Linked DNA regions of Cricetulus griseus. The protein of the gene in region 2 interacts with the protein of the main gene of each other region in a pairwise test. Links are inferred from orthologs where the notes say so. Each region holds a gene or a part of one and is shown on either strand. Other genes may lie near its edges.

Region 1 (3,579 bases), on a different chromosome or scaffold from region 2:
GGAGGCAGAGCAGGCGGATCTCTGTGAGTTCGAGGCAGAGCATGGTCTACAGAGCGAGTGCCAGGATAGGCTCCAAAGCTACGCAGAGAAACCCTACCTCGAAAAACAACAACAACAAAAAAAAAAAAAAAAAAAAAAAAAAAAAAAAGAAAAAAAAGAAACCCCATTTTTCTGGTACGTATGCTTGAGCCTGGGAAGTATTTTCTGAACGGGAACGACGCACCGGGAAGAGGATGGACCAGATCAGAACACTAAGGACGTGAATCAGGACTTCATTCCAGACCGAAAGGTGTAACTGGGGTGAGGCTGAGGGGCCAGGACTGCCAAGCCAGGGAGGCGTGGCCACAAGCCGCAATAAAAAGAAAAAGTAATGCTTTCTGCTGCCTACTCGTAAGGATAAATTTTGTATAAGTGGTATTAGCTAAGCACAAGGCCCTGGTAGATTTTTCTTTTTCTTTTTGAGACAGTCTCTCTACAAAGTTTTGCCTGGAACTCGCTATATAGACCAGGATAGCTTCTAATACACTGGCCTATATAATACCAGCAACTTCCGAGGGTGGACATTAGTACCACAAATTCGAGATCAGCTTGGTCTATATATTGACACCCCATGTCAAGAAAATTAAGCAACTTTTAAAAAATAAATATATGTGTATATCTTACCTTACTGAGTACTGTCTGCTAAGAAGTTATCGTTCAGGAGAGGTGGGAACTGATTGAATTTAGAGAGGGATTCCTTCCCCATCAGCTCTCGCGATTCTGTAATCTGTAACAAGGTGTTCCTCGAAGATTAAAAAAAGAAGAAAAAAAATCGATTTTTTTTTTTTTTGTCCAGGATGGTGTTTCCAACATCTTCGCAGGCAGGACCCCGACAGACACATAGGGTGGTGTGGAGCACGGCCTGCCGCCCGAGACACAGCTTAGCTTTCATCGGCGGCAGTCTGCACCCCTAGGGTCTCGGAAGCAGTCGCTGTAGTCAGAGGGTAACGGCAAGCACAGGGGCCGAGACGGAGCTTTGAATGAACACCGAGAGCGCGGCAGCCAGGGCACCCGCGCGACTCCAGGTCCGCTGGGCAGCCGGGATTCTGCGGTAGGAGGTTTGTTTGGCTTGGGGATGGCAGACGCTTTGGGTCTCTTCCACAACAAAGGGATCGCCAACACTGCTCCGACCGTCGGCTGTAAATCCACTAGGACCGCCGCTCAGTCTCACAGTCTTCCAACCCAGCCTCGGCTCGGCAAACTGCGCCACAGAACCGCGTCTGTGAAAGCCCGGAATCCGGAAGCACCTAACAGCGGATGTTTCCGTTATATCACTTCCGCTTCCTGCTACTAGCCCTAAATCGGGCCAGGGCTCGGCGTTCGAGCTGGGAGTTGTGTCGTCGATAAATTCGAGGGGAATTAGAGGTGAGGGAGCTAAACTGAGAGGCCCGGGATCACGGGGAGCGGCGGGAGGCGAAGCCGGAGGCCGGGGCTGGGCCTGCGGGAGTAAGGGGCGGAGACGCGACTGTCTGGGTCCCCGCCGCTGAGACCCCGGACGGGGCTGCCGGGGATGTGTGTTCGGGTGGTGTGGACAGAGAACTCCACTCGGGAAGGGACTTTGGGCGACCCCAGAGTTCTGACTCCGCTATCTCCCATCATCTCCCCCCCCCCCCGGTGTAGCCGCAGTCACGATGATTGAGGTTGTTTGCAACGACCGTCTCGGAAAGAAAGTCCGCGTCAAGTGCAAGTATCCACCAGGGGGTGACCGGCCGTGGTCTCTGGGGCAGCTGCTGGTGTTAGGCAAATTGTGGTTAAATGGCGTAGATGGGGAGGCCTAATACCGTCTTCCTCGTTCTACCTCCTCCCTCCATTTACCTTAACTCCTTCGTGCCCAGCACCGATGACACCATCGGGGACTTGAAGAAACTGATAGCAGCCCAAACTGGCACCCGCTGGAATAAGATCGTCCTTAAAAAATGGTAAGTGCTGGTGGGGATTAGGCTAGAAGGTTGCGGTTGGGGGAGCGCCTCAGGCAACCCCGATGAGGGCTCAGCTTGCTTTCAAGACAAAAGCCCACCTCAACCCCGCCAAATAAGCTTCTCTCTGAAAGATGTCTGTCCCGTAGGTACACGATTTTTAAGGACCACGTGTCTCTGGGAGATTGTATCCTTTTCCTGACTTTTGTGAAAGAATCCATATACTTGAGTTCTGGTTCTATATTGAAACCTGTAGGGTTGTTTAACTTAAAATGTGGCCTATAGATAGGGACTACTGAGAAAATGGAAAGTATGGCGTTATTTTGTTGATGAGGAGGGTGGTGGAATAGTTTAACTTGGTTCAGAAGGATTTTGACGTTCAGGTTCAAAATATTTATGACTGAACAGCACATGGATATTGGACAGGAAGTGGAGGTGGAGTATACCTCAGATGTGACTAGTGGACAACCAGTATGATTTTTTTTTTTATGGGGGCAGGGGAGGGGTTCTGGGTCTTTTGCTGCAATTACGTTTATGCACCACATGCATGCCTGCTGCTGACTTAGGCCAGAAGGAAGCTTCAGATTCCCTGGAACCGTCGTGTGAGTGCGGGGATTGAACCCAGTTCCTGTGCAAGAGCAGCCATGAGTGCCCTTCAACTGTTGCTCTATGTCTTCAGCCTGAGTATGAACATTTAAGAAAATGTGTTAATTATTGCTGTGTGTGAAGGCCTGGGGCACTTGAGAATCTGACTCTACACCAGGCTTTGATGACAAACAGTTTTGCCTTCTCAGTGATGGTCACTTACATTATTTATAGCTTGAATTCTTAGATCAAAGTGCACATTCTAAAATTGCTTCCTTATTCCAAGGTTGGTTGTCGAGCCACAAGGTTCCATCCAACTGTGAGTGGGTAAAGGGTAGAGTCAGCCCTCAGTGAAAATTCCTTAATACTTGTCTTCAGATGAAATCCATGATGGGATGAACCTGGAGCTTTATTACCAATAGACGGGAATCCTTCTCCTTGACTACCCTGCCTTCCTCTCCCACCCTCATTTGACACTGGTATAGATGCACATTTTTAACAGTTCACATGAATAAAGACTTTGATGCTGCTTTGTTGCTGTCATACTTACATGAAGGTTGTATCCGGAGGGGAGAGCTGGTGTCTGGTGGGTATAGTTCCGTACCCTGTTCCTTGAGGAAGACTAACTGGAGGCTGGGCCTGGTAGTGCACACCTGACATCTCAGCACTTGAGAGATGGAGGCAAAAGGATCAGGTGTGAAGTCATGAGGGAAGAGTAGCCTAGTAGAATGGGACCCGGAGCTCTGCTGTTGCCTCTGGGTCACTGATGGGCAGAGATCCTGTGAGTATTGCCGTCCTCATAAACCATTAACCTGCATAGGGAGGGTAGATATGCTAGCTGGAACAGGGTCTGGCTTCACAAGACTGTGAGTAGGACACCTGCCCCACAGCTGAATTGCTCTAGGGAAGTTTCTTTACCCTCCTAAGCCTCAACAATGGTTTCAGTATCTTGAACCATCTCTACAATGGTTTCAAGACTAGGGTAAAATACAGTCTCCATTGTGAGGTATTAAAAAGCAGGTCCTTCACTACGTGTGAT
Region 2 (3,512 bases):
TAACCATATGCTGTGAGTTGAGTTGTCTAGTTTGTCAGAAAAATGTCAAGATTGGTTGAAATTGTTCTCTTTTAGCAACATTTAAAAATGGACATCATAATAAGAGGGGAAGTAAAGGCTAATTTCAATCTTCAATCTAATAAATGCTAGTTGTAACAGAAAAAACTTCGGGAGGGAAATGATATCTCAAAATTTACAAATTAAAGACGTCTAAAAAACTTCGGGAGGGAAATGGTATCTCAAAATTTACAAATTAAAGACGTCTGGCTTTCTCAATACATTTCCCATTCAGCACCCAGGTTCACAACTTCAGCAAAATTAACTGCAGACAATAATGTTGTGTTGTACTAGAAGCTAGACTACACACTAGTAAGCAATCGCTAAGCACCCCAACAATGTGACCTGCCTGAGTTGTTTCCAATAAACAGTAAAGCAGTTTCTTTAAAAAAAAAAAAAAAAAGTTTACATTCAAAGAAAACTATGGGTGCCTCATTTTTTTAAATATACTGTACAACCACAAAATAAGATGCTTTTTACTATTAAAACCAACAAATTCATGATCTGGTTTGCAGAATGAGTAAGTGTGGGCAAGTGAAGACTAGCTAATAATACACAGGTGTCAGTTATGAGTATGTGTTCACTTCCTTTAAGGATTCAAGTATATGAATATAAATTATAGCATATCCAAATAGTATTAAAAAAACTTTTTCAGAAACTTATCATTCTTTTAGAGCCTTACAAACAAGAATCCATTCAAAATAAAAACAAATCACTCATACCGAATGTGACTGATGACTTGCACAGTGTCTATTACGCTTCCTTTTAGGGCTGCTCCTCCTGCTTCGGACTGAGGATTTACTGCAGTGGATCCGGTAACTGCTTTCAATGTCTCTATGGTAATGTCTTGGAACATATCCTTCGCAGTAGTCATTTCTGTACTCATCAATGTATCTCCGGTCCCGATAATCTCTTCCATTCAAGCATCTTGCTTCTAAATAGTGACTGTAAACACATTCAAGGATCTCAAGTTATTCTCTTCATTCTGAAATAATGTGGTTCAAACAAAATTCTTAAGAATTCTTGGTTTAAATAGCTAACACAATAAAAGGAAAAATTCAAGTCGATGAGATTAGATTTATACTTATCTCAGATAACTTAATAACTTTAACCAAATAGTTCCATATTTTCCCATATACACTTGCTACAGCCAGGCATGCTGGTATATGCCTGTAATCCCAACACTTGGAAGGTGAGGGCAGGAGGATCAAGAATTCAAGGTAATCCTGAGTGAGGTACATTGCAAGTTTGAAGCCAGCCTGGGCCACATGAAACATCTCCAAAAAAAAAAAAAAAAAGAAAGAAAGAAAGAAAAAAAAAAAAACCCACAAAACAAAACAACACCCCACACAAAAAACCCCACACATTAGAAAACTGCTGTCAACAATTCATACCAAGGAACAGAGCTTTAATTACAAAATACTTAAAATCAAATGTTCCTTTACCTTGTGAAAAGTCAAGATCAAACCTGCAAACCTGTTCTGAAATGCACTGATCTTACAACATCTGAAACTAGCTTCCTTTCCCGCTCTCGCTCTCTCAGAGACACACATTTAGAGAAAGGCAAAAGAGGATTCCTTTCCCCTTTAATGTAAGTGCATTTTGATATCCCTGACAGACTTCTTCCATAATGTGTATCACAGATACAGGAGCCTTAAATGTATTTTCAGTCCTTTTATTTACTAACTCAATTAAGACCCCTAAAGGATATGCCATTGTTGCAGAGTACACTAGTGGCAAAAACTAAGATATTTCAAACATGTCACCTATTCTAACTCCTCTCTTTTCTATGTCTAAGCTTTCTATTACTCCTGTTTGACAATCAGACACCAGAACTTCTGAGGCCTGCCTAATGTGCCAAGTACACCTAAAATTGACCCTCCTAACCAAAAGGGTCCAGGACTGTGGACATCCTTCCATTCTATTTGCCTTTGCATTTCCTGTATTTTTTGTTGTAAGCCTAGCCTTTTAATGGCTGAGCCATCTCTCCAGTTTGACTTTGCATTTCTAATTTCCTGTGACTCTTGGAAAATACCCAAGAAATAGAAAAGAAAACAGCATTTTCTAGTGCCACAGTGCTTCTACAGATCCCTTTGAGAACCTGATGGGATAGGTTGTAGACCCTTTCCCCCAAGAAATGTGCAAATGCATAAACAAAACTTGGCAAGAACTTCATGGAGGTCATGGACCTCAGGAAGTCAATGGGTCCCAGTTAAGTGTCCTGATCTGATGGAAAGAAAAGGACAGATTCAATTGGCCCAGTTTCCCATCCCCCCTCTACCTGGGATGAGTGTCCTCTTCAACAGAGTGCGAAGCTTCAAGAGGGATGCACATGGAGCACTGAGGGAGAGAGGGGACACCTGCCCAGTCAGACAAATCAGCTAAATAATCCTGACAAGCAATGGAGTGACAGATGTTGCTGAGGCTGCCCCCCTCAACCCCTTTACACTCCCCCAGGATATGCTGTCATTTTCTTCCCAAGTGCTGGTTTAAGCAGAAATAAAGAGAAACATCCCTAGGACAACTGCTCAACAGACCTGGCATCTAATTCAGGCTAGGCTTTCTTATGGCCTAGCATCATTCTCAAGTTCTTCCTAACCTCTGGAAAAACAACTCAGGCTATTAGGATAAAACTCTGGACCTGAGTCAATTGGTCTAAAACAGAGATCTAGATGAAACACAACAAACTAGATGTCATACTTCTAAGGGCATCCTATTTAATTTTATAAATTATCACACCCACCTCCACACATTCAAAGTCTACCTTAAAAAACTACACTGATAATCTTTAACTGGAATACTATGTGAAACTGGCCCTGCTGACACTCCAAAACAATCTACTAATGATTAAAAAAAAAAATGGGGGTGGTGATGTACTATCATGAACAGAGCTAACATGAGAAGGACCTTTCCCGTTTATGACAACCAAAGACCAAAGGTTAAAGTCTACAGAATTATACAAGCTGTGGACAGGGCAGACAGAATAACAGGTCTGATTTTTTAAAAAATATCCACTGAATGCTCAGTGAATATTTCATTGTAGCTTTTCAAAACAGCCCAAACTGTTGAGTGCACTGACATTTGTTTTTATTTCCACAAAGGTCCTGTGGGAGATAAAATAAAGCATATAAGGCAAAGTCTCTCCCCAATAAATGAACAATTTAAGATTACTCACACACAAAAATAGAAAAATCAAAATAGACAAATGCAAAAAAAAAAAAAAAACTGTTGAAAAGGTGCTAATGATCGCTTAGACTCAGGGAAAGCAAAGATTTCAATCTCATTAAATGATTAGGGAAGAATTCATGACAAAGACAAAAGCAGATAAGCATCTTAAAGGAAAGCCAGGATTTGGACAAAATGGACAGTAGGAAAAATTCCAGGAAAACAGCATAGTGCCATCTTACACAGACAGCACCACCAGTCAGAGGCTTAGAATGCATGTATCTACACTT

Evidence for each region. The genes of interacting proteins can lie anywhere in the genome.
Region 1: the proteins of Clk4 (region 2) and Ubl5 interact in a two-hybrid assay, tested with the Homo sapiens proteins (2 studies listed by BioGRID and IntAct). The link is inferred for Cricetulus griseus from reciprocal best matches to the Homo sapiens genes CLK4 and UBL5.

The regions. Positions count from the first base shown.
Region 1 is NC_048597.1:133,522,996-133,526,574, forward strand, and holds Ubl5 (ubiquitin-like protein 5), read left to right. Parts: upstream 1-1,248; 5' UTR 1,249-1,404; intron 1,405-1,659; 5' UTR 1,660-1,670; coding exon 1,671-1,726; intron 1,727-1,874; coding exon 1,875-1,958; intron 1,959-2,104; coding exon 2,105-2,142; intron 2,143-2,918; coding exon 2,919-2,962; 3' UTR 2,963-3,071; downstream 3,072-3,579. UniProt on the Homo sapiens protein: Ubiquitin-like protein that plays a role in cell proliferation and sister chromatid cohesion by associating with spliceosomal proteins. Participates thereby in pre-mRNA splicing by maintaining spliceosome integrity.
Region 2 is NC_048600.1:65,546,842-65,550,353, reverse strand, and holds part of Clk4 (dual specificity protein kinase CLK4), read right to left. Parts: intron 2,398-3,512; exon of another isoform or gene 2,392-2,397; coding exon of another isoform or gene 2,339-2,391; intron 1,003-2,338; coding exon 780-1,002; intron 1-779. UniProt on the Homo sapiens protein: Dual specificity kinase acting on both serine/threonine and tyrosine-containing substrates.